7 linked regions of the Coturnix japonica genome follow. The protein of the gene in region 7 interacts with the protein of the main gene of each other region in a pairwise test. Links are inferred from orthologs where the notes say so. Each region holds a gene or a part of one and is shown on either strand. Other genes may lie near its edges. The genes, in order: SSX2IP, RANBP3, SEPTIN6, HMMR, BEND3, TRIM23 and MORN4.

Region 1 (3,500 bases), on a different chromosome or scaffold from region 7:
AGTGAGGGGGATATTTGGGTAACGCGGTCTTCTGTCAGTAAATACATAAAAAGGTAAAAGAAGTGTCATCTGAATATGTAATTGCACATTGTTTCATGCTTTGAAATCTCCTTTTCATTTGTAGCTATGGAAGTTCTAAATTATGTTGGTAGAGCTGATGGGAAGAGAGGTGCGTGGAGGACTGATAAGACAGAAGCCAGGTGAAACTGTAGTTGCTTTAGAACAACATTAATTAAACTCTTTGTTATGTTGTCACCTTGTTACTGTCACATTTCTGCTTTCAGAAATGAAGAACAAATGTACAAAGTTCTGCTAAGTGACTATGAGCAACGCCAAAAGCAGCTTTTATTGGAAAATGCTGAGCTGAAAAAAGTTCTTCAGCAAATGAAGAAAGAGATTATTTCACTTCTTCCACCACAGAAACAAAAACCTAAAGAAAGGTCTGAAGATGGGCCAGTAAGTATTCTTTGGTTAAGCTTAAGTCTGTGATAGTTTGCAGTGCTGGAGCAATCTGATTAAAATACTTCCTGGAAGGCTTGCAGTGGAAGGACCTGAAAAAATCTTTTCATTATTTTTGTAATAGTAAAAAAAAAAAAAAAAGTAAAACCTATATGTATATATAGGTTTATATATATATATATTATATATTATATTATATACACACACACATATATAAGTTTTACTTTTCTTTGGTCAAACAAATCTACGTATGTATTTAAATGTGTATTTTTTGAACGTTAAGATTGCTTGCACCAGGCTTTGTTTCTATTTCTATAGGTACTTTCAGACTTGGAGGAGGACATTGGAGAGTTAAATAAAGAGAATATGTGGGAACTGTCATGTGAAACTGTGCGAGAGCAGCTTACCAACAGCATTAGAAAACAATGGAGAATGTTGAAAAATCACGTTGAAAGGCTGGATAACCAAGGTGGTGTTTAACTCATATGCGTACATGTAAAATGCTCCTGACTGTTTGGTGTCATGCTCTTTGGATTTACATTACTGTATGTCTTAACTAAGTGGAAGCTAAAATGCAAGGGATTGTGACCTGATAGACTCCCTGAAAAGGCTTGTGATTGTCATTTTCTACATGAGTTTAAATTGTGGGAAGTTAGGAAAGCTATTGCCTAGCAAGTCTGTTATCCTGAGAACAGACACAATTGTAGTTTGACAGAGTAAACAGCTTTCTTCAGAAATAATTTATTTTTCTTTTGGAGACACGTGCACTGTAATATGCAGGTCACTCCAAAAGTAATGCCTTCTGTTTATTTTCATGAGAACTGTAGCAGATACAAAGAGCACAATAGTACTATTGAATAGACTAAATTCTGAACTGCATAATACTGTTCTGTTCTTTTCTCGACGTAGTCACCATTAATTAGCTATGTGCTTTTGCCAGTAGTTAACAGGAGCCTACATGTCATGCTTGCAAAAAACTACAGAAAATCTTCATTAGTGGAGGTGACATGCTGTTATCACTGCTGAAACAGACCACGCACCATCTTGCTTTGCTCACATCCACTGTGTTTGGCCTCCATAAACATTCAGCAAGCTGTTTTTTTCATTGACACACCTTTGCTTCATATGCATTTCCATGTCAGATGCCATTACTGCCCTTCTGCTGCCATCTGTCACATGGCAATGAAATGTAACAGAATGCTGGTGAGAAGGTTCGACCTCTGCCACCATTGTCTGCCTCTGATGTTGTGGGCCAACTTAAGCAGGAAGCATTATTTTCAGAGCAGCCCTTGTAAATGTTGGTTGTATTTCCCCGTTTCTCTGAGCTGTTCAAGTAATGCAGATACTCAGTTTCTTTCAACTTGGGATATGTGATACACAGATCCTTCTTAAAGTTTGAGCTCGTTACATCCATATCTCTAGTGCTTCTGCTGGCATTCTAAAATGAACTAGTTGATGGTATGGTGCTGGACTCTCCTCATTTCCAGCTGTTAAACAGCATTAAAAGACAGCTAAAAATATATAAAATTCTTTCCTAGTATTATTTTCCAATGTAAGCAAATGCTGCTGCTACAGCAAGGATGTTTGCAGTCAGGAATAAGAGTGAGAAGGTCATGAATGTAGTTGCAAATAAAAGAGCAGGTGGTCTCTGGTATAGACATATTCTTACAGAAAGGATTTTAAGATCACTTATTCTGAGTAATATTTGACTCAGTGTACTGACAAAAAATAATTGTAAGCATCAGGAAAAAAAGATTCGAGTATTTGCAGTCTTCTTGGAGTTACTTTTTATTTACTTTTTCTTTTTTTTCTTTTTGAGTTTATAGAGACAACCATGTTCTGATCTGTTAGCATTTGCTTAGTGTTTAAACACTGTCAGCAGGGGATCCAGACTTGGCATATTACAAATGCTGGGATGGTTGTATCTTTGTACAACCACACATTACATTATTTCATCTCACGCACATTTTATTCCTCTCTGATTCATTCCCTTTCTGAGTTAAAAATGTGCACACAGTGTTCCAACTGTTAGCTCTGTTTCTCCTTCATAGAACACGAGGGAAAAAATCTTTCCGTTTTTATCTATGGTATATATAGTTACTGCCATACTCTTATGAACACATAGACCCTTCAATAGTGGGCTCAGAATAGGCTAACCATGCATCAGTGAAAAGAAATCTTCACTTGTTATTTTCTTTTAAATAACTGCTGAAACAAGTTGTGGTGGTTATTTTTGGTGGTGGTGTTTTTGTTTGGTTGTTTGTTTGTTGTTTTTTTTTTTTGGGCAACACTGTTGCGGCACAGATTTGTGATTTACCTGAATAAATGTTGCAGCATTTGAGGCACGGACTCAGATGTGAACGATCCAAATCGTTTATTACAAGTTCTCACATCCCTTATATTACCTTCACAAGTTATTTTTCTAACTTTCCCGTCTGCCCTTACAACTTTCCCAACCACCTTTACATGTCAACAAAGCATTCTACAAAACACTTTTCAACTGTCCATGCAGGCACGTATCCAATCAGAGCTGTGAGACCCTTCTTCTCCTTGCAGAGGTGTCCTTGGTTCTCATGCTGTTTATCTTGCTCCACAGCTGCTGCTCTGAACAGCTTTTCTTGTATTCCCACAAAATGTGAAATCTGAGGTGACGTTGTAATGTTCAGCTCAGGATAAATGGCAGTAGCTCTTAATTACGAGTGTAGTACCAATTCTGGATTGCTTGTCGTGATAATAGGAATTTTGAGTGCATGATGAATGTGTCTTTTGGAATTAAACTATTACAGTTTAACAATCTTTGTTATTGCTTTGAGTTTTAAGTGTTGTGATGTATTGTTTTTAAGTAACCTTTTTCCCTTTTTTCTTCTCCCTTAGTGTCACGTGTGCATTCAGGAGCCTTGAATGATAAAGATGTAATTTCAAGGGAAGACCATGAGCTGGAAACTGAAAAACTAGAGTTAGAAATTCAGCAATGTAAAGAAATGATCAAAACTCAGCAGCAGCTTTTACAGGTAGCAGGCTTTTTGTTATTTTCAAGACCA
Region 2 (3,500 bases), on a different chromosome or scaffold from region 7:
AGCACCAAGGAGGATGCTAAAGCAGAATTTTGAATTTAAGTACTTGATAAAGCTCTCAGTAATACCAGCATAAGCTATTTCTACTAATGGTTCAGGTAAACACTTTTGGAAAGGTGAGCTGACTGGAGGACTGCTACCTGCAGCCTTTCAGAGTAGTTTTAAAATGGGGCTTATCCTTTCTGCTTGGTGAGCCGTGGCTTCCTGGTGCAGGTGAGTCTGCATTCCTCATTGTGACTGCACGTGCTGGGTGTGTTTCATAGTGTTCTGCCTATGAAGGCTACTCCACATGGGACATGTGCTTCTTTTCCTTGTCTGGGGTGAGCCTTTTTGGCCCAATTCAGAATGAATAGTGATCACAAGGTACCAAACAGGGAGAGACAAAAGCGGCCAGACTTGCTGAAGTTGCCACAGGCTCATGTCTATTAGTCTGTAGCACCTGCAGTGCATGTAGTGGCCCAGAAACAGTGTGAGGAAACAGTGGGTGTAAGGGTGCAGTGATGTCACTTGAGCACATGGTGATTAATCTGCATTTGCTTCCACTCTTACAAGGCAGCTGGGTGCCTTTAGAAAAGGTAATTTGGTTAATGAGGGATGTGTCGAAACTGCAGGAGCTGCTACTGAAATATTTGTAACTTTTTTTCTAGTTGGATTTCTAAGTAGGGGAAGGGAGTAAGGGAGCTCTTACACTGGGTGAGCAAACTGGGGGTCAGATCAGGGATTACTGGTTTGTCTCACAGCTCCTGATTTCCAGCAGCTGCGTAGAATGAAGTCATTTGGGTCACTGTAATGGTTCTGTGTGAGGTGGTCCTGGCTTTCAGTTCTGTTATGTAGTTTGTGTGTGTAAAAACAGTGCTGTGAAGTCCAACTGATAGCCTGCAAAAGGGGGCCTGAAAACCTGGGGCAGAGGTGTCCTGACTGGTGAGTGCCCACCTGATGGAGTGAGTGTTGCCTGCAAGTGTTTTTGTAACAGCAGAGACCTGGGATGTACCTTTTGCTGGAAGCAAGTATTAAAAAATAATAATTACAATAATACTATATTCTTAAAATAATATTATATTCTTGATGCTTGAGTATCATTTAACAGTTTTAGGTGGTTTTGGAACTTGGGGGGAAGAGTCTTGTTGATTTTTCTGCACATACAGATGTGCAGTTTGATGCAGGTTGGAGTATCTGACTGTGCTTTCTACACAAAACAGCTTTTTTCTCTCTTTGAATACTGGTTGCTCAAATGGAAGATATTGTGGGTTTTCACTTTAGCTTTCAGGAAAGTAGTGTTTGTTGACAACAGCAGTGCCTATGAAAGCCATATTTCAGTAATGTGGATTACTTGGTGAGTTACATGGGGATGGTGTGGATAACAAACACAATATTACTGCATTGGATTGATGGATGAGTGTTGGAATGGGAAAACTATTCCTAAAACTGCAAATAGCTCTTAATTCCTTACTGAGATTTCAAAGCTACGTGACTGGGATGCTGGTAAACTCACTCTTCTGTCATCTTAAAACAGAAAACTGTATTGCATAGATAAAGGTGAATGTATGTGGGTAGATGTTGTAATGAGAAGGTGGTGATGCTGCTCCATTCGCCTCCTGCAGCACATGGAATTCCTTGTGGGCAGTTCTGTGGGAACAGGGAAGTGATGTAGAAATCCTCAGAAGATGTGAAAACTTCAAATATCTCATTGTGGCAAAGGGCAGCCTGTGATACTGCCTGCTTTTCCTTCTGGTGCTCTGGAACTGATATCATAGGGTGTCTCTCCAACACTGGTGTTTTGTTGATGGAACTGATAACTGTCCCTGTCCTCTGATTTCAGAGATCAGCAGATGGATCGAGTCCAGAAGATGGAGATGGTAAGAAATGTGATTGTAAACTTAAGAAGTGCTGGTAGATAAATAGAATTCCAAAAATAATCTTTTTTTTTCCCTACAGAATCTGATCGAGAGGATGGGAACTACTGTCCGCCTGTGAAGCGTGAGAGAACTTCATCCTTAACACAGTTCCCTCCTTCTCAGTCAGGTAAATGTTAATTATTACTGTACTGTATGAGCTGGGTTTCCTATTTCTGTTTCTCCGAGTCACACCAGTCTTATTACTGCCTGCTTTGCTTTACCTCTAATGACCACAGCAGCCACATACTGACTTCCCTATGGTCTGTGATAGCAAATTTAATCGAGCCCAACAGATTTTGATGCACAAACTTGTATGTTTTCATACACATGCACCAGCTGGAGCTTCTAATGTTATGCTGTTCAATGGAAGAATTTACCAGGTATCTTTTTGCTTTGTCGTGATAAAATCACCTCTTAGAGACTTTGCATAAATGCTGTATTTTCCTTAGTTCTGTGCTGTCAGATCTAATCTCAGCTTGTACTCAAGTTCCCTTTGTCAGTTCCTTTTTTCTCATTCCTCCTCAAGTGGAGAGAATACAGTGCATTTCAGCAGTGTTCTCACCCAGCACATGCAAGAGATGCACTGTGAAGGGCACAGATAAGTTCTTCTAGCTCATATACACTGGAGTGGTCTGGTGTGACACACAAAAAACCACAGAGCTGAGGATTATCTAAACTGAGATATTGTGGTGCTTAAGGCAGACCTGAGTCCATTCTTGGTCATCTCGGCTGGGAAATTCTATGATTGTGATCTTGGATGCAGGTGAGTAGTTTCCCAGGACTTCCTTTTTTACATTTCTAAAAGCAAGAGTTATGTTTCCCCTTTCCCAGTCATTGGGAACTTCCCTGGGCTGCCACAGCTTCTCAAACAGAATGGAGAGTGGCTCGCCAGCTTCATCCACCAGTTTCTCAGGGGCACTTGTGTGAATCTCAGCAGGTCCCATAGACCTGTGTATATTCAGGTTACTTGGATGGTCTTAAATCTGGTTTTGTCCAGCAGCAGGCAGTTACTTATTCTCCCAGTCTGTCTTTGCCTTCTGTGGCCTGGGCAGTGTGGCGTGAAGACTGAGGCAAAGACATCTCTGCATACCTGGTTTTTCATATCCCAACTAACCAGGTGGTGTTCCCATTTCCTTCTGGAAGGGGCCTATATGAGATATGGGGAGACACAGGGTAGTCATGACTTGGAAATCATCTCTCCACTCATGGATTACCAGCTTGGATTCTCTTTCTGCGTCCCATGGGCTGTGCAGTGATAGCAGAATCTTTGAGATCCACTTCAGCAATTGGCTGTTATTTCTTTCATATCTCAAATCATGTCACAAAGGAACCTTGTGAGATCTCTTTTGATTTGTAATTCAGGAGAGAATTCAAACTAGGAATGCTGTTTGTCTTCCCTCTTGGCAGTGAATGCTGCTGTTACAGGAGAAACTAAGCAGCAAGGATCTGCTTGTTTTTTGTATCTGTAATACTATTCTAGTGTAGAAAGAAACAAAACAAATAAAAACCATAGCAAAGTAAAGCAAATGATCAGAAAAACTTTGTTTTGGGAAAGGAACTTATAATCAAGAACGGCATACCCAGCTTCTCTTATTTTTCTTTTTACTT
Region 3 (3,500 bases), on a different chromosome or scaffold from region 7:
TGAATGGAGATGCATCTTTCACCTGCAGGAATTGGGACTGTGAGAGCAGCAAGCCATTTGCTCCCTGGGCGCAAGGGAGACTTACACTGCTGCCAATGAGTCTGCATTAACCTTCCTTTTAGAAGCATCTTTCCTTCTCTCATTTTGAAGTATGAGGCCATTTTCTCTGGAGGAAATTAGTCTGTAGTAATCCATAGCCTCTGTAGCCCCTGTTAGTAGTGTTTCTCCTCTCTGCTGAATAGTCAGCATTTTTGTCAAACAGGCTGATAGTGTCTAATTAAGATCACATCTGCTTGCTAAAGATGCAACATTTATATTTCTTATGGGTGAGGAGGAAGGGAGATTTGGAGAATTGGTCCTGGGAAGTGAATAGCTAAGAAGCAGCTCATTTTTAAAAAGCTAGCATAGGAGTAGAGGTGGCTTATCTCTGTGAGACGTCAAGATTTTTCTTCCTTTCATTAAAGCTACAAGCCTATTGTTGAGTTCATTGATGCTCAGTTTGAAGCCTACTTGCAAGAAGAACTGAAGATAAAGAGGGTCTTGCACAATTACCATGACACCCGGATCCACGCTTGCTTGTACTTCATTGCTCCGACAGGCCACTCGCTGAAATCCTTGGACTTGGTAACAATGAAGAAGCTTGACAGCAAGGTAGGCAATTTTAACTGTTACTGTGCAGGTCACCTTGCACATGATGGAAATGCTGCTGCTTTTCCAGGGCATGTTTCCCTACTTGCATTCCCCTTATGCTATGGCCGAGTTGGCAGATGCATCCTTTAGACTTACTGAGTGCTTTTAAGTTTTTTATAAGTTGCACTACAAGACTACCTGGAGCAAACCCTAGGACTTACCTCTCTGTTTCTCTCCAGGTCAACATCATTCCTATCATTGCCAAATCTGATGCCATTTCCAAAAGTGAGCTGACCAAGTTTAAAATCAAGATCATGAGTGAACTGGTCAGCAACGGTGTCCAGATCTACCAGTTCCCCACAGATGATGAAACAGTGGCCGAGATAAATGGAACAATGAATGTAAGTGACTCAGCACTTCCTGCTCTCAGAACATTACTGTTGTAGTGGTGGCGGCCTATATTGCAATGTTTCTTAAATCCACTTTCCCTTTTATTTTCTGTCTTGAGAACAGACAATCCATTTTTGTAGTGTCACCTTAGGCTAGCAGAGCCTTGAGGAAGGCTACTGCCTCTCTGGCAGGCTTTTCTAGTCAGAAAGCAGATGGAGTTTAACCACTTCCTTGTCTTAAGGTGTAAGTGTTGAGGTACATACAGGGAATTGGACAGATGGTGAAGTCTGGCCATGCTGGGCATGGACAGTCCTGTGCTGTGAATTAATCAGATGAGTATTATCTGTCTGCAGCAAGCTCTGCATTTCACACACCAAACAGCTTTGCTGTCCTTGATGGGAGTTTCCTGTGAAGCCTTGCTTCTGCAGGTGTCTCCTCCTGCTGTCCTTGGTCTGGTTTTGCCTTGCAGCTCTGGTGAAAGATGTAAAGATTGGCCAGGAGCAGTGGGTTGGTTAGAGCAACCCCTTCATTTGAGGTACAACTAAATGCTGACATGAGAAACATGTTGTCCAGTCACAAAAGATATAGTTTGTGCCAGGGTGGCCCAGTCATCTCTCTCTTCCAAATGTCTGCTTTTGGCCACTCTCAGAATAAAAAGAGATACTGTATAGGATGCTTCCTTGAAATATTTCTTCAGTGTCTGATTGCATTCAGATCAAGGATTTCTGTCCCACCTGATCCTCTTCCATCACTGAACTTCCAGGATCCTGTGGCAAGATCACGCAGTTGATCCACCTGTTCAGAACAGAGTACACAACTTGAGTTAAATATGTTTTAAAGCATCTGCAATTACTTTCAGGCTGTAGGCATTCTGGGCTGTATCAACTGATGCACAGAGAGATCAGCTGTTTAAATCCTCCATTAAACTAATGCAAATCACAATTGCCGGGTGTTACAACTGGAAAGATTAGCACAGTGGAAGGGCAATACAGGACTATAACAGCAAAGGGACCAGCACAGATAAAATGGTATTTCAAAGGAAAAGTAAAGGTACTCACCTATCTCTGAAGATTAAACGTTCTGGATCAGCTACCTCTTCTTTTTCTTTTTTTAATTACAGGGAAAATTGAGACTTATCTCTTGGTTAATTAATGTTTTGCTTATGACCTGCTTTGATTATCTTTAGCATGGCAAGTAAAATTAGGTTTTAAAATATGTGAACTCATTACTTAGTGTGCATTTTAGGTTATTGTATTGATGCATGAGGAATTCTTTCATAGTATTTTGCATTCAGGGTTGACTTACTAAACGAAGAGAATACGGCCTGATGTGACAGAAATCAATCAACTGAAGATATAAGATCTCTGCCATTGTGATCAGAAGAAGTATTTAGCTGTGAACAAAGGTGTCAAGTGCAGCATTTAGATACCAGTTGATTAAACAAATCTTCAGAACAAGATGCTTGGTTTTGCTTCAAATCAATTTGGTCTTTCTGAGAATCCCACTGTGCATACGTTTACAAGTTCAGAGATGTAGAGAGCACTTGAAAATACTCCCCAAAATTCTTTGGATCTCCTCCCATCCATTTTTTTTTTTTTAAAACATAATACAAAATTAGATCTTTGCTATTCTTTCAGCTCCCAGTTGGCTTTTCCATTTTGATTGAATCAATTTAATTACTGCAGAATGTATTCTCCCTACACCTGGTAGTTAAATGAAGCCATGTGTGACTATGTGAGCTGTTTGTTCCACGTGGTGGGAGCTGGAACTTTTGGAAAAAAAGGAAATCACCAGCACTTTCTCCCTAGGTAAAACAGCAGCCAAACAGTTGATACTGATAGGTGAACCCCTAGCAGAATAGGCCTAGCTCTATGCTGACCTGCATCCTTCCATGTGCTGACATGTCAGCGCAATTCTAAAAGTAACTGTGTGAAGGGCACCTCAAGAGTCTGTGGTGCCCAGGGCCTCCTCACGGCCCAGAATGGCCCCTCCAGACTGACCGCTAAGCCCCACTTGTACTGTTGTGTCCTTCATGAGACAGTTTTGAGGCCAGGTAATAAAAGCTGAAGAGCTGTAAACAGTGTTCCATTCCATTGGCACCCTGAGGCACTTTTAATTGCCCAGAACCAAGCACAGTTTAAAGGCTCTAGCTAACAAATATCTCTGCACAGAACTCAGCAGAAGGGGTGAGTGCATGGAGCTGGCAGCTTTATTTTTAAGTATTGAAACCTTGCATTCAATTTCTCTGCAGCTTGGTGGAAGGTTGCATAGTTCCCAGGAGCAAGTGGAGGTGGGGAGAGATCTCACTCATTGCACAACAGAGAGACTTCAGTCTCCTGATCTGATAGAGCAAGCTATCTTGTGTTCTGGTGTGAGCAGAGGGAGTGGGAGGGAGATAAAATAAAGAAGACTCCAAGAAGGCTCGTTTATTGCTTCTGTGCTTGTGCAGATGTTCTCCTCAGCCCTGGCAAGCCCCTGGG
Region 4 (3,500 bases), on a different chromosome or scaffold from region 7:
CTGAAGACAGTGTGCAGAAGAAAATGAGCAGTCTATGTATGGAGTTAATGAAGCTCAGAACCAAGAGGGATGCTAAGGAGAAGGTAAGCTGCTTTGTACTGTACAGGATTGATCTGCCTAGGAACGGTCAACAAAGAGCTTGCAGCAGTTTTTTCTTTTTTTTTTTTTTCTTTCCTCAACTCAAAAACTGCTTTTCATTCAATGGAATTAGGAAAGATAATAATGAATGATCCTTATTTCGCTTTTGATATGTGAAGTTCCTCTGAATAACAAACTGTAGAAATATTTGTTAGATACATTTTGTTGACTACATAGATATATTTGTTGACTACATTTGATGTAGTCAAAAAGCAGTGGCCTCAAATTGACTCTTAGCCATTGAATGGGAGCTTTCAAGTCATGGCCTGAACTGCTGATTGAGTACGTAGGGAGAGGACTGGGTCAGCCCTGGGAGCACAGGTGAAGGCAACACAGCTGTGTGACCTGAAGGGCTGCAGCCTGGCTGCACTTCTCTTAGGCCTCATTGAAGGGCTGACTGCTGCTGGGGAAGGGTCTCTTTCTGGAGATCCCTCCTTGGCAAAGCTTTCCCCTGCGAACTTGGAATCTTCTGATGTGAGTGAGCAGTCTTTCCTTCATTTATAGCACCTTTCTGTCATGCTGGTCTTTCTGTCATCAAAGCTCTGTTACAACAGAGAAAGAAAGGTTGTAATACGTTTCCTCTCATATTGATCTGTCCAATTGCTACAGCTGTGTGTGGGTTTTCTGGGTAGTGTATGCCTGTAGTTGTAATGAACAGTTGTTATATCTGCAGATGGGTAATTTGAATAAAGGAGTCACATTTAGCATAGGGGCTAGTACTGTAATTAATTTCTGGTTGAGTTAATTAAAAATTAATATGACTCAAAGAAAATTAACTTCTGTCATACTAGTTTTGGTGGTAACACTGACCTTTTTCCAGACTGCACTTGCGAAGCAGGAGAACATGGAAATGAAGCTGCAGGAAGTACAGAGGAATCTGGAGCATTCAAAAGGAAAAGTAGCACAGTTACAAGAAAAACTGTAAGTAGTAAGAAAAGGAATGGATGTAGTAACATGAATATCTGAGCTGTTTGTAGCTTGGAGAAAAATTAAGGCCATCTTTCTACTGGGAGGAAACAGAAATTAACAGTGGCCTGAGATAAAATTTATGGTGAGATGTTTGGATGTTTGCTGTGGGAAAATTTTCCCTATATGAAAAGGACTTTTGCTCCCTTTTAATATCCAATTGCTTGAATTAGTACATTTTTTATATTTAGTTTTGTGTATTTTAACTGTAATCTAATATTGTAGGTAATGCAATTCACGAAAGGCAACGATAATTTGTCTAACCAATGCAGCCTGTCTAACATACTCAATTGTGCTAAAATGTGGTACAGTGTTGTTAGTGCAAATGGAAGTGTCAGCCACACTTGATAATGGGAAGAATGCATTAGTATTAAGTAGTGATCCAGTGACAGATTACTAGTTGCTTACCTGTAAACAAATAACCTATGATGTTATAGATACTACAAATAACTCTGATGTACTTGAATATTTCTATTTATAGTGCAAATGTCTTGGGTTTTTTTTTTAGGTCTGCTACGGAGAGAGAGAAAGTGGAAGATAAGTGTGACACTGAAAGACTCCTGGATTATATCACAGAGCTCAGGTAAAAACTGTTCTGGAATTGGACTGTGTTAAAAGGCAGTAAAACTAAGCTTTTTTTTTTTTTTTTTTTTTCCTCAGTGAAGCAGAATTTTGGGAACAATTCTACAGTAATAAGAGTGTGGGAGGGAAAAAGTGGTTATCCTTCCAGACAGATGGGAAGGAGTTAAGGTGTATCCACATTTAGAAAGTTATTTGTATACAAAACTCAGCTTTTGTTTTTTCTTCCTCTGAGCTACTGGAATTTTCTGTTTTTTATTTTATATTTTATAGCTGTGATGTTTAATCTTTGTTTCTGGCACTTAAGAATATTGATTTGGCTGTGAACACTACCAGCTTAGTGCTATGTAACAGGTGGAAGCACTAACCAGCTCCTCAATGATGTGTACCTAGCTCAGAAAATTGTGAAAACACAAAAGCATTCCAATTTAGTTCCCTTCGATCTGAACCTTCCTTCTCCACCAGCGTCCCATTTCTGCCAGTTTACTCAGTAAGAGGTTCCTCATGAACTTGCCTAAAGTTTCTACTTATTGTGAAGTCTGGTTTATTTGTGTGTGTGCTTTTCTGTCAAACTCATCTTTCTAAAAAAAGCAGGTGTAGAGATGATCTGTAAATGAAGTATTGTGAGTAATTTTATTTCTAATTGAACTTAATATCAAAATTGGTATTTTATTATTGTTTAATTTTAAGTAACTTGTGTTAATGCTGCAAAAAAAAAAAAAAAGTCTAAGTAAGGAAAGGAAGCTTTCCTGCTAAAAACAAACAGTATTCAGTATTCCAAGCATCTCTCATTTGTGCCAAAGTGAAATCTTAAAAATGAAGTTATGGTAACCAATAAATGTTGTTCTGTAGTGGTGCTGCAGAAGCTGTAGAGAAATACAAGCTAGGCGTTGCTCAGATGGAGGAGATGTTGATCAAGAAAGACCAGGACATCAAGATCCTGAGGGATGCACTCCAAACAAAAGAGGAAGAATCAAACACACTGATTAGAGCACTTAATGAAAAGTGTGAGTTGCTTGAACAAGAGAAAGGTAATTGCTACTTGTTGAATGCTGTTCATGTAGCTGGGATCACATATGCATCCTATAACAAATGTTTGTCTAAAATGGTAGTGTGGATTCCAAATCATATCTCAGCTTCAGCTGAAAACAGACCAGCCTGTTTGTATCTGTATGGAAACAACTGAGTCTATGTTTATATTTCCACATACTGAAGTAAATAGTGTAAAAATACGAACTGTTTCAATGCTACTCTTCAATCAAAAAGGTGAATGCTTGTTCTTTTTGATTAAGAATCAGTACTATACACCTTTATTTCACTGTTAGTGGTTTATACCCAAGTTCACAGAGGTACTGGGAGTATGTCCAGGAATCCTTCTTTGCTTCTGCTCCCCTAACTCCACTCTACTCCTCACAACTCTGAGGGAACCATTTAGTAGGTTTTTCCTGTCTGTGCTACTTTATTTGATAAAAGCTAATTGTTTGAGCTGATGTTTGCTACCATTCATGCCTAATTAGAAGTGGGATTCTTTCAGTTGGTTTTGATGAATTCCAAAGGGGGTAATATATGAGGTGGGTATTTTCCATGCTTAACTAACTTTACTTAGTTATGCTATTTTAGTTTTAGAGTAGATGTTGTGCTTCTTTGAAGGCAGAGAAGGCATTACCTATTGCATTCTTGCTAACTCTATGCAGAGAGAGAATCATCTGAGAGCAGAGGAAAAATCTTGAGTATGAATGCTGAAATAGAAGAGCTGAAAAATAAAGCACTTGTAGAGGAGCAAGAACACCAAAAACTGCTTCAGAAACAAGAGGAGT
Region 5 (4,123 bases), on a different chromosome or scaffold from region 7:
GTCGATGAATCGCTGGCTGTAGATTCTTGTCTCGTTAATAAATCGTACCCTCGTTAAGTGGTCCGTCAGAGCGGTGTGGAAGCTGGCAGCTCTGCTGGGATGGGCTCTGCTGGGATAAGCCAGCCCTTAACAACAACAAAAAGAGCAGCCAACGTGAAGTCAGCAAAGCATTCTATGGGCATTACGTGGCCACTGTGGCACTGTGAGCATGGCCCAAACCTAAAGTCTAAACTCAGAGCAGCCACACAAACAGAAGACAGAAATCACAGGGAGCTGTTCCTGACGACAGCACCTCAGATCACAGGCTGGCTATGTTTCACTCGGTCCAAGGGAAAGCGGGAGCACTATCACAGAATCACAGAATGACCCGTGTTGGAAGGGACGTCAAGGATCATGTAGTTCCAACCCCCCTGCCTGGCAGGGCCACCAAACATACACATTTACTAGATCAGGTTGCCCAGAGCCCCGTCCGACCTGGTCTTGAACACCTCCAAGGACGGGGCATCCACAACCTCCCTGGGCAGCCTGTTCCAGGAATCCTACGGGAGGGCTGCAGTGCCGATGGGGCAGCGGGTTTGCTCGGAGAGTTTCGTTCCTGGAAAGTCACTTCCCAGCCGTGTGCCACGCACTGACGGCAGCGACACGGCACCGCGCTGCCCCGGCTGCGGGAGAAGCCGAACAACGCGGGCAGTGCGAGCGGCCGCGTGATGCCCGGCGGGACCGAGCGCCGCAGCTCCGGGTCTCCGCACAGCGCGGCCACGGGGCCGCCGCGCTCCCGGTCATGTACGGCTTCACCGGCGGGGGTTTCCCGTGCGCAGGATTCGCCGAGCTGACGTTCCACGCGTTACTGTCAAAACGGATGGCGGCCGCGCGGATACTCGTTACAGCGGGAGCGCTTCCCGTCCCACGGCCCCGCGGATCCCCCCGGAGCCCCCTGCCCGCCGCGGGGTCCCGCGTGGGGCGGCCGCGATTCGCCGTTCGAGGGCCCGAGGGGGGGCACGATAACGGCGCCCACCGTTGGAGCGCGTTGTCCCGCGGCCACGTGCTCGGCGCTGCCCACGTGCGGCCGGGTCTCGCGGCGGGAGCGCGCGTGGCGGGGCCCGCGCTCGCGGGATTCTCCGGTGGGAGCGGCGGCGTGGGGGCGGAACGGGGGGGGGGGAAGAGAGGCCGCTCCTCCCCGCCCCCCCCCCCTCATCCCCGCTCCCACCCCCACCCCCCGGCTCTGCCCCTGCCCCGGGGCGGCGGGTGGCGCTGGCCGCGGCGGCTCGGGGCTCGGTGTCCTTGTGCGGAAATGACACACGGTCCCGTCACGTCACGCGAGAGCGCAGCGCGCGGACCCTCGCACACAAAGAGCGGGGGGGAGAGGCGGCCAACAGCGGCGGCCGCTCCAGCCGCCCCCGCCGTCCCGGGGCCCCCGCGCCCCCTCGTACGCGCCCCGGTAAGTGCCGCCACCGCAGCACGGGAGGGAAGGGGCAGCGGGGAGGGGACGGCGGGAGGCCGGGGGCTGGGGGCTGGAGGAGGAGGAGAAGAGGAGGAGGAGGAGGCGGCCCCTCGCCCCGCCGCGGCCGGGCCCCGCTCCCAACACGGAGCAAGGCGGGCGGGGGCTCTTTGTTCGCCGCTCGCGACGGCGACTCGGTGCACGAAACCCCGGCCCGGGCCGCCTCCATCCGCGGCGCTGCGCTGTGCTGCGAGGTGCTGCGGGGAAGCGCCGGGCTGCCTCCCCCCTTGTCTCACCTCGTCTCCCCCTCCCCTCCCCCCGCTCGCACCGGCCACATAGATCCGCCCGGCCATGGTTCGGACCGGAAGCTCCAACCGCCGCCGCAGCCCGGGCTCGCGGGTCTGACCGCGGAAGCGGCCGCGGGCGCCGCGTGCGGGGTTTGCGGGGCGGCCTCGCCGCAGCCTCCGCCTCGGGGCGGGGCCGGGCCGCTCCCACGTGGCGGCCGCCGCCTCCCCGACGGGAACAGAGCGACGGGGGGATGCGGGGAACGGAGCGGACACGGAGGGTGATGGGTCCGTCCCCTTGCCCTTGGTGGGGGTCGGAATGCTGGTTTTGAACGGTGGGGCATCAATAATAGGTTGTATTCCAACCCTCCATTTTGGGGTCACGGGCAGCACCCCGCTGTCACCAAATAGATGGAATAGAGAACATTTGCTTTAAGCACTGTGTGCCCTGTTTGCGTTTTGCTGGTTGTTTGGGTAACAGATGTACAAGTCCCCTTTCATAGGAGCCTGTAGGGTTGTACAGGGATATACAGGGAAGCCTGTAGGGATGCTGCTCCAGCAGGGGGTTGGGCTGCATGGTCCCCAGAGGGCCCTTCCCACCCCTATGGCCCAGGCTTTGGGCATCACACTTGTTTCCTCAACCTGCTGCTCAAACAACTAACCCTGCTCTTCCAAAACACCCTTCAGAAATAATATGCGGTGATTTATAATGGAACCCAACCGAACACGTGCAAAGTGCAGCTCAAGAGCAAGAAAAGCAGAGTCCTGCTTCTTTCTATCTGCTGTCTGTCTGTGCTGGTGGTTTGAGGTGTAACTTTAGACATGATTAATGCAGATGTTTGAGGTAGCGGCGTGCTGGCAGCCAGCTGCAGCTATTTGCTTATTCTCCACGTCATGCAAATGAGTGTGGTGATGAGGTTTTCCATAACAGGAGAATACTTAAAGAGGAAATTAAAGCATTAATGAAAGTGCCAAAAAGTCCAGAGTAAAATAGTCGTGTTGCTGTTTGAGAGGGTGTTGAGAAATTTCTGCCTTGTTGTTTAAATTCAAATCACTGACCTGGCCCCAGTGCTGCAGGCAGGAAGCAAAAGACCTGAATGACGTGGCCAAAGCCAGAGTTCTATAGGGTTGCTCCAGCAGAAGAGCTGCCCTGCAGCTGTTTGGTGAGCAGCACCCAAAGAGGGAGGCAGCTCCTGGACCACCTGAGCCAGAGATGTGGCTTCAGAAGCCCTTGTCCTTGCAGAGAGTTAGTCTGACCTCAACCTTCTGAAACATCACAAAGGGCAGAGTGTTCAGTGTCATCAGGTAGTTAGAACCACCCTGCACTGGGTGGAACTGCATCCAGCCAGCTGCTTCCTTGCTGGTGGACTCCTCCAAAGGAGGATCGGTGGATCGCTGTGTTTTAGGCCTACAGAGCAGCCCCAACTGGAAGGGAAGTCAGAAGCTCATCAGGCCCAGCCTTCCTTGGAGAAGGGAGCCGAGGTGAGATGATCCAGCACTGTCTGCCCATCTCTGCCCAACTCTACCATGGCCCTTGGGAGCTTGTTCCAGGGATGTTCTCACTGTAAAACATTTCTTTCTTATATCGAGCTAAAACCCCTCCTGGTACAGCTCATGTCCATTGCCCCTCATCGTCTCCATGTGGCTCCTTGTGAAGGGAGACCCTGTGTCTTCTTTGTGGCTACCTGTTAAGTACTGCGGTGCCCCCTGAGCCTTCTGTTCCCCAGCTTGAAAGGGCCTAAAACTCCTTCAGTCTTTCCTCCTGCAGCAACTTCTCCAGCCCCTTGAAAACCTTTGTGGCACTCCTTTGGATTCTCTGCATTCTGTCCTTTTTATTACTGTTTATTCATTTATTTTTGAGTTGTGAGTCTTTACACTGCTTTATCCAACACATGCTTTACGTGAAGTACAGACCCAGAGACGTGGAACAGGACCTCAGACCCCTTATTGTCTGAGAAGTCTCTTAACTAATAAACTGTCCTTGATTGGCTTTGGGTAAACCACACTGTCATCATGTAGCGTTGACTTGATCAAGTGCTGTTGCAGTGAGGCCAGCTACTTTTTCTCTGTTAAATACCAGCAGTTCTGTGTACTCATCTTGTAAAACGTACCCAATGTTGCCTACTTACAATATCAGCTCCTTAGCTGGGTTAGCTGAGTGCTTTCACTGCACGCTGAAAGCCACAAAGTCGAACATATTCTTCAAATATGCTTTTAAACACATTCCCAACGTGACGAGCAAACACTGTGTCCTGTCTTGAGTAATGTGAGTAACAGTTTCTCCTTTTCGGATGTAAACAAAACTCGAGTAGTTCTCATTAAAGCCTGTGACTTTTATGCATGAAGCAATGTACCACCATGAGGCACTGGAAGGAATAAACATATAACACACGTTCTTAAG
Region 6 (3,500 bases), on a different chromosome or scaffold from region 7:
AATGTTAACTATACATAGTTAAGTAAATTGTATTAAATTTCATGATAATTATAGTTCTTATGGTCTTTTGTTGTTAGTTATCGCGGATTATTTTACAAGTGGCATTTCTTAAGTAGGGACAATCTGCATAAACAGTAAATAATTCCATGATGGAAAGAAGGAACAGGATGGAATGTTATTGTGAGCTGACATTGAGCAGCCATGGTACCTCACTGGAATTATATGTTCTTTTTAATGTTAGTTAAAATCTTCTCTGTGCTTTGTGAAATTCTCATTATGTTATTTGCTTAGGCGTTTTATTCCTATCCCCTCACTTTATTTAGTTGTTTCTCAAAAATAGGAGATTCTGGTGTCTGGGGACTGAAAAAGAATTTTGCTTTGTTGGAACTATTGGAACGGCTGCAGAATGGGCCTCCTGGACAGTGTGGGACAGCAGAAGAAGCCATTGGTCTATCTGGAGAGGTACAGATTTTGGAAAAAGAACTGTGTTACATTTGTGTAAAAATATTATTAGATAGAAGAAAATTTTCTTGGCAAGTGTGTTTGCATTAATAAAGTTGTTTTCTTTCTGTATCTAACATGAAGATTATCAGTAATTCATAATTTAATTCTAATGTGCACTTACTAAATCAGAGAAGTTATTACCAAGTCTTCCCCCCTTTTTTAGGCTTTAAAGACTTTTCCAGAGGGTTACTTGTTTGGATATTTTATTTGTAATAATTTTAGGAGAGTTTTCTGGAACTTCCTAGCATCTCTTTTTACAGACTTTGAAACAGCTCTTCTTTCTGGATAGTTACCTTTTATAGTCATTCAGTGTGACTGTGTTGTATAATAGCTTCTTTACCAGAAAGGACTGCTTTAAGCAGTCTGGTATTAACAGCTGTTATGCACAAAGCATGCAGTGCAATTTTAGGAGCAGATCACTGTTCTGAGCACATATTTTTCTATTGTTGTTTTGTCTCTAACTTTCTCATTCTTCTTTCCATAATGCTTATGTTGAAGAGCTGTCTGGAACCTGAATTACTTTAGCCTCAAAAGCTCTACTGCTTCTGCTGAAGTGTACATTTAGAAAGTCAATTAACCGCTCAATCAAAACCCTCTAGAGTAATATTGGAACTTACTGTTAGGGAAAGTGATTTTTTTATTATTGTTAAGTAACAAGAGGTCAGGTTTTCAAAGTAGTCCATATTGGTGTCGGGTCTTCTGACTTTTCCGCTGTTGCTGAAAATTATTTATAATTTATATTAATAATTACTTTTATTATTAATTAATAAATTATTAATAAATAATAAATACTTTAATATTTTATTAATAAATATTATTAATATATTAATAAATATTAATAAATACTAACAATTTTGGTTTATGTTGGTGTTATTTTTTTAGAGTATCATTCGCTGTGATGAAGATGAAGCCCATGTTGCATCTGTTTATTGCACTGTTTGTGCCACTCACCTGTGTGCAGACTGTTCTCAGCTTACTCATTCTACAAAGACACTAGCGAAACACAAACGTGTACCTCTTGCTGATAAACCTCATGAGAAGACCATGTGCTCCCAACACCAAGTGCATGCTATTGAGTTTGTTTGTTTAGAAGAGGATTGTCAAGCCAGTCCTCTCATGTGTTGTGTCTGCAAAGAGTATGGGAAGCATCAAGGTCATAAGGTACTGCTGAGAATCTGTTTCTGGTCATGCTATGGAATGACTTGCATATTATTTATCCAATTTAAGTAGAAAAAGTTATCAAGAGAGGAGAGCAGAATCTTGATGTGCTTTTATAGAAGTACTGTCATTATTTTCTTTCCTTTTTCATTAGGAGAACTGCCACAATAAAAGTTACAGGGAAAATAGTTACGATTAAGACTATATTACTTATAAGTAAATTATATAGTTAATTTGATGCTTTTCAGATCTTCTCATGGTATTTTATTGCCTGACCTGAAGGTTGTTATTCATCTTGTAGTTTGTTCACCCAATCAGTTGCATTCCAACCTCCCTTTTGTGTGTGCTTTAATAAGTAATTATAGTAAATAGGCAAATTTCTGTTTGTACTTATATAATTGCTAGATGCCTGTCTTAGTAGTAGAATAGTATTTAGATTCTAAATAATGCATTTATGTGATTTACTTAATTAATATATTTTTTATCTAGTACGACAGAAGTGATATTTAAAGAAAATATTTGATTGATCATTGATATGTTGCTTTTAATTAATAGCATTCTGTCTTGGAACCAGAAGCAAACCAGATTCGTGCATCCATTTTAGACATGGCCCACTGTATAAGAACTTTCACAGAAGAAATCTCAGATTATTCCAGAAAATTAGTTGGAATAGTTCAGCATATAGAAGGAGGAGAGCAAATTGTTGAAGATGGAGTTGGAATGGCCCACACAGAACATGTATGCTATCTTCTTTGTTGTTTTTTCTTTCTTGCATATACAGAATATTTACAGATTGTAATAACAAATGGGAGCTTGTAAGGTTGTTTTTAAGCTTTTAACAAATAAAGATCTTTTTGGGAGGTAGTTAATTATAACATACTTCATTACAATTACATTTCAAGGAAGTTCTTGGAAAACTATATGTAGGCTTTACAAGACAAAACTTTTAAGTTTTAATGTCTACTGAGAGATTAAGACTTCTGTCCCAATATTGTTATTGAGACAACAGTTAAAGGCAATCTTGTAGTACGTGTCAAGGTTTTTAGTCATCATGAATGTAGAGAGTCAGTAAGGAAAGAGGTGTAAAGGCTACTTGATTATTGAAATAATTTATCTGAAATCTTGACCTTAACAACGATGAGGCTGTCTATGTAAATGGGACTAGAACTGTAAGGTAACTAAACAGGCTTGAACAAAATTAAGAGATATGAATAAAATGACACATACACTTGTACAGTCTTGTGGTGTTTTTGATTCTCTTGACATTTTGATTGTGACACTGTAGGTACCTGGGACTGCAGAGAATGCTCGCTCATGTGTCCGAGCCTATTTTTCGGATCTTCATGAAACCCTCTGTCGACAGGAGGAAATGGCTCTTAGTGTTGTTGATGCTCATGTGAGAGAGAAATTGATTTGGCTTAGACAGCAACAAGAAGACATGACTATCCTATTGTCACAGGTTTCAACAGCTTGCCTTCATTGTGAAAAGACTTTACAACAGGTAGGTTGGCAAGTGAGCTGCAGCATCTGGCAAGAGAAAGATAATGCAGTGTAAGTTTAGGCTACAAACAAAAAAGTGTTCTGCATTTTATTTTATTTTATAATTTTAAAACTGTAATTATATTACATGAGATTGGCCAAGTCCTCCAGTTGCTGTAAATTCTATGGCATGACTCTAGAGTAACTTCTGGTTGAATACGGGAGAGGTTTTTGGAACAGAGGTGAAATGGAAGGAAGGAAGAAAACGCCTGTGGGATTTGTGGGAAGGATTTTATAGCTGCAGTTGCTAACAGTTTTTTGAAAATGGTTTTTTGAAAACAGTTTTATACTAAATGACT
Region 7 (3,978 bases):
CATCAGAGAATCAATTATACCTCGAGATCCACTCCTTCCAGTCTCACTGGCCTAACGCTTCCCATCCTATATCAGAACGTCACCCTATGTCAGAGCTCCCATCCCATGTCATTAGTCACCACGGTCAGGAGCTGACGATCCACAGGAAGAGAGAAGCGCCTGCTGGACACAACAGCTACGGGGGAAGGGGAACAAGCTTTAAGTGTGGCACAGCCCATGCATTACAAACTGAGATACCCGCTGGGCACAGCCCCGCAGCGCCCAGCTCAGAGCCACGAGCTGCCGGCCCTGCCGGCCCACATCACCGGGATGGAGGGGAGCTCCCGGCCCGGCCCAGGGCGCTGCCGACTCACTCCTTGCGGGTCCTTAACGAAGTAGCTGCCGCTGGAGCCCTGTGAGATGCGCTCGGGGTAGATCCCTCTCTCGCTGGCCAGCTCTGCCCGCCGCACCACCTCGGCGAACTCGGGGTCCTCGGGGAAGTCGTTCCGTTCCCGCTGCGCCGCCGCCGCCGCCTGAGCCTGGGCCGCCGCCGCCGCCGCTTGGGCCTGGGCCTGCGCCGCGGCCGCCGCGGGGCCCCGCGCCCCACGCTCCAGCAGCGGCTGCCGCTCGCGATCGCGGCCACCGGGGGAAGGAGGCGGCGACGGCTGCGGGGGGGCGGCGGGCGGCAGCGTGCGCACAGCACTGCCCGGCAGCCCGTAGTCGGGGCCCTGCGCCCGCTCCGGGGACACCAGCGGGCTCGTCTCGTCCATCGCGCCCGCCGCCCAACGCTTCCGGTCGCGTCACGTCACGTCGCGAACTGTCATGACGTCATGACGTCACCGCGCCGTCACGCTCCATCGGCCGCCCCGCCCGCCGGATGCCGAAGGAACCGGGCCCAACGTCCGTCCGTCCCATGGCGGTGCTCGGAGGAGGCCCGGCGGATATCGCGGCCCTCGGGAGGAGCCGGGCGAGACAGGGCGAAGCGGGGGCTTCCTCGGTCCGTCTCCGAGGAAGGCTCGGTGCCCCGCACAAAGATGGCCGCTCTGGGGTCAGCAGCGCCGCCGCCGCCCTTCACAAAGATGGCGGCAGGGCGGGGCGCGGGCTTTGCCCCGCGCAAAGATGGCGGCGGGCGAGGGCGAGGCAGCGGAGCCGACCAATGAGAAGCCGCGTTGCTAGCGGTCTCCATGGCGACAGCCAACCGCAGGCGGGGATGGATGCCGGCGGTGTAGCGCCGCCCGGCGGGGCGGGGGGCCGGCTGGGGAGGTGGCCGCCGCCCCTCGGCGGGACCGCGGGGTGAGAGCGGAGCAACGGGCGGCGGACACGGAGCAGGTGAGCGCGGGGCGGAGCGGCACTGCCCGCAACGACTGCAGGGGGTGAGCTGCAGGCCGGGGGTGAGCTGCAGGCCGGGGGTGAGCTGCAGCCCGAGCGAGGCTGCCGCCCCCGGCAGCTCAGGTGGCTCCGTGCCCCGCCGTGGGGCGGGCGGCAACACGAGCCCGGCGGCTGCGGTTACAGCGGCGGGGTCGGGGTCGTGTGTGCGTGCTGCTGCCCGGCCCTGCCGCAGCGCGGCTCTGTGCTCACAGCTCTGTGCTCACAGCTTTGTGCTCACAGCTCTGCTTACAGCTCCCTGCACGGCGCTGCCATGACCCTCACCAAGGGCTCCTTCACGTACTGCAGCGGGGAGGAGTATCGCGGGGAGTGGAAGGAAGGTGAGATGGGGCGGGGTGGGGTGGCACAGCTGACTGCATGCTTCCATAGCCCAGAGCTGTGCTGAGCATCCTCGCCCAGAGCTGTGCTGGGCTGCCCCTGCCATCGCTCCATCCATCGCTGCCGGCTTTTTCTCCCGCTAGGACGCAGGCACGGTATCGGCCAGCTGACGTTTGCTGATGGCACCGCCTACGTGGGGCACTTTGAGAACGGTCTGTTCCATGGCTGTGGAGTGCTCAGCTTTGCTGATGGCTCCAGGTGAGCACAGCACCCCGTGTCCTCAGCACAGCCCGCATGGTCCGGTGTGAGTACCTGGCCCATTGATGCTCCCTCTGTCTCGTGCAGGTATGAGGGGGAGTTTGTGCAGGGCAAGTTTAGCGGTGTTGGCGTCTTTACCCGCTATGACAACATGACCTTCGAGGGCGAGTTCAAAGGCGGACGTGTGTATGGCTTTGGTGAGTGTCTGAAGGTTCCTCTTGGCTCGGTGCGTGCTGACAGAGCAGCAGGATGTGCCTGCCAAAGCTCAGCACAGCCCCAGCTTAGCAAAGTCCTGCCCACCCCTGCCCCTGCTGTCCTGCCCTGTTGGTGTGTCTTGTTCCATCTGTCCATGCCTGGCCCCAGTGTCTGCTGCTCCCTACCCTGTCACTCCCATCCCTTCCCTCCCCAGGTCTCCTGACGTTCCCTGACGGCTCTCATGGGGTTCCCCGCAACGAGGGCTTCTTTGAGAACAACAAGCTGCTGCGGCGGGAGAAGTGCCAGGCGGTGATCCAGAGGGCCCAGACTGCCTCCAAGTCTGCTCACAACCTCACAGCGTGATGGCACCCTGGCACCTGCATCCCCCACCCGCTGCAGTGGGACTCCCCCTGGTACTGGCTGACCCAGGGCAGGGCCATGGCACTGCAATCCATTCCCTCGCCAGCCACCCAACTTTGGCAGGACTGGGAGTCCTTCCACTGCATGGGAAAGACCTCCCTGCCAAACTGTGCTGGTGGGGAAAACAGACCCCTGTGCCCTTCACCCAAGTGCCCCTAGGTGGCTCTCTGCTTACTGGGGCCACCGTGGTGCCTTCTCCCTCTGATTGCTGCCCTCCCCCTTCCCCACGAGGAGCCTCCACTCTGGCCCCAACCCCACCAGAGCAGCCACCAGCAGGAATGAGGGATGGCATGGCTGGAACCAAACAGAGGAGTTGGGGTTGGGGCTGGCTCCTGGCCCTATTGCCTAGGGTGCCTATGCCTGCAGGCAGTGGGCAGCTGGCTGGACCATGTGTGCACAGAGGGACAGATCCTGGCCTGCTTCTCCAGCCCAGGTCCCCAGGCAGTGTGGGCACTCCGTGGCCTGTGCCCTCAACGCTGCACCCACTGGGCAGTGTGACATGATCCCCCATGCTCTTGGGATCATGGAAAGGGCAATTGACTGTATCACTCTCATCACTGTGCCTACCCAGCCCATTTGATGCCTTGGAGACATCTCCACTGATTGGGGCCAGGAGACGCTTGGCCTGACATTCATCCTGTGTCCAGAAGGAGCTGGGTGAAGGCAGCAGTGATGATGAGAAATAAACAGATTCAGACCAAACTAGGGGCAAGGGGCTGAGGCAAGGCAGCATGAAGTGCCAGGTTTGGTGCAGGGGACCTGGGCTGGGTGGGCAGGGAAAAGAGCATGACAAGGGTGCAGGCAGGGTGCAGGTAGCTCCCCATCTTGCTCCAGCACTTGCATCCTTCATCTCTCCTTGTGTGTACCTGCCTTCTCCCCCCAGCATGGCCCAGCTTACCAGGACACGGCCCTTGTATCCCTCTCAGCCCAACTGTGCCCTCCCTGAAGGTTTTGCCCACACCGGTCCCGTGCCTTGCTGTGTCCCTGCCTTGTGCTGCTGCCTGTATGGGCCTCAGCAGAGTAAACCATGTTGCCAAACTCCTGAGCTGTGTCCATCTTGCTGGGAAGCAGGGACCTGTGCCCCAGGGTCAGCTGCTTGCACAGGCACAAAAGCATATGCAGAGGGGAGGTGGCAGGTTTATTCATAGTGCTCTGTAGGGTGGCTGGGTCAGCGTCGGGCATCCATACCCCAAGGGACGGGGGGAACCTGCAGTACCTCAGGTGGGCACCCATGTGGATGGGGGGCTGCTGCCTGAGCCCAGAGGGGGTTTTCGAGGGGTCTGGCATGGCCACTGCATGCCCAATCTGGACATGCTAAGGTGTTGGGTTTCCCTCCACAAGCCCTGTCCATCAGGAAGGAGTGAGATGAATGTTTTCCTCCTGGCCATGTACTGCTGTCTCCACTGCATCCTCAGCTCCCAA

Evidence for each region.
Region 1: the proteins of MORN4 (region 7) and SSX2IP interact in binary tests that used the Homo sapiens proteins (3 or more experiments, as listed by UniProt). The two-hybrid records come from large-scale screens. The link is inferred for Coturnix japonica from reciprocal best matches to the Homo sapiens genes MORN4 and SSX2IP.
Region 2: the proteins of MORN4 (region 7) and RANBP3 interact in a two-hybrid assay, tested with the Homo sapiens proteins (2 studies listed by BioGRID). The two-hybrid records come from large-scale screens. The link is inferred for Coturnix japonica from reciprocal best matches to the Homo sapiens genes MORN4 and RANBP3.
Region 3: the proteins of MORN4 (region 7) and SEPTIN6 interact in binary tests that used the Homo sapiens proteins (3 or more experiments, as listed by UniProt). The two-hybrid records come from large-scale screens. The link is inferred for Coturnix japonica from reciprocal best matches to the Homo sapiens genes MORN4 and SEPTIN6.
Region 4: the proteins of MORN4 (region 7) and HMMR interact in binary tests that used the Homo sapiens proteins (3 or more experiments, as listed by UniProt). The two-hybrid records come from large-scale screens. The link is inferred for Coturnix japonica from reciprocal best matches to the Homo sapiens genes MORN4 and HMMR.
Region 5: the proteins of MORN4 (region 7) and BEND3 interact in binary tests that used the Homo sapiens proteins (3 or more experiments, as listed by UniProt). The two-hybrid records come from large-scale screens. The link is inferred for Coturnix japonica from reciprocal best matches to the Homo sapiens genes MORN4 and BEND3.
Region 6: the proteins of MORN4 (region 7) and TRIM23 interact in binary tests that used the Homo sapiens proteins (3 or more experiments, as listed by UniProt). The two-hybrid records come from large-scale screens. The link is inferred for Coturnix japonica from reciprocal best matches to the Homo sapiens genes MORN4 and TRIM23.

Annotation. Positions count from the first base shown.
Region 1 is NC_029523.1:14,419,795-14,423,294, forward strand, and holds part of SSX2IP (afadin- and alpha-actinin-binding protein), read left to right. Parts: intron 1-124; coding exon 125-200; intron 201-284; coding exon 285-456; intron 457-777; coding exon 778-928; intron 929-3,333; coding exon 3,334-3,470; intron 3,471-3,500. UniProt on the Homo sapiens protein: Belongs to an adhesion system, which plays a role in the organization of homotypic, interneuronal and heterotypic cell-cell adherens junctions (AJs).
Region 2 is NC_029543.1:279,871-283,370, forward strand, and holds part of RANBP3 (ran-binding protein 3), read left to right. Parts: exon of another isoform or gene 1-293; coding exon of another isoform or gene 294-317; intron 318-1,816; coding exon 1,817-1,853; intron 1,854-1,932; coding exon 1,933-2,019; intron 2,020-3,500. UniProt on the Homo sapiens protein: Acts as a cofactor for XPO1/CRM1-mediated nuclear export, perhaps as export complex scaffolding protein. Bound to XPO1/CRM1, stabilizes the XPO1/CRM1-cargo interaction. In the absence of Ran-bound GTP prevents binding of XPO1/CRM1 to the nuclear pore complex.
Region 3 is NC_029519.1:15,401,085-15,404,584, forward strand, and holds part of SEPTIN6 (septin-6), read left to right. Parts: intron 1-464; coding exon 465-651; intron 652-869; coding exon 870-1,031; intron 1,032-3,500. UniProt on the Homo sapiens protein: Filament-forming cytoskeletal GTPase. Required for normal organization of the actin cytoskeleton. Involved in cytokinesis. May play a role in HCV RNA replication.
Region 4 is NC_029528.1:8,992,149-8,995,648, reverse strand, and holds part of HMMR (hyaluronan mediated motility receptor), read left to right. Parts: coding exon 1-83; intron 84-958; coding exon 959-1,059; intron 1,060-1,612; coding exon 1,613-1,687; intron 1,688-2,535; coding exon 2,536-2,714; intron 2,715-3,377; coding exon 3,378-3,500. UniProt on the Homo sapiens protein: Receptor for hyaluronic acid (HA). Involved in cell motility. When hyaluronan binds to HMMR, the phosphorylation of a number of proteins, including PTK2/FAK1 occurs.
Region 5 is NC_029518.1:61,788,397-61,792,519, forward strand, and holds the start of BEND3 (BEN domain-containing protein 3), read left to right. Parts: upstream 1-1,323; 5' UTR 1,324-1,438; intron 1,439-2,504; exon of another isoform or gene 2,505-3,204; intron 3,205-4,123. UniProt on the Homo sapiens protein: Transcriptional repressor which associates with the NoRC (nucleolar remodeling complex) complex and plays a key role in repressing rDNA transcription.
Region 6 is NC_029547.1:14,362,179-14,365,678, forward strand, and holds part of TRIM23 (E3 ubiquitin-protein ligase TRIM23), read left to right. Parts: intron 1-340; coding exon 341-462; intron 463-1,386; coding exon 1,387-1,665; intron 1,666-2,217; coding exon 2,218-2,400; intron 2,401-2,947; coding exon 2,948-3,163; intron 3,164-3,500.
Region 7 is NC_029521.1:19,470,883-19,474,860, forward strand, and holds MORN4 (MORN repeat-containing protein 4), read left to right. Parts: upstream 1-1,178; 5' UTR 1,179-1,308; intron 1,309-1,587; 5' UTR 1,588-1,618; coding exon 1,619-1,685; intron 1,686-1,826; coding exon 1,827-1,941; intron 1,942-2,028; coding exon 2,029-2,138; intron 2,139-2,304; coding exon of another isoform or gene 2,305-2,350; coding exon 2,351-2,499; 3' UTR 2,500-3,598; downstream 3,599-3,978. Other genes in the region: PI4K2A (phosphatidylinositol 4-kinase type 2-alpha), read right to left, coding at 354-749. UniProt on the Homo sapiens protein: Plays a role in promoting axonal degeneration following neuronal injury by toxic insult or trauma.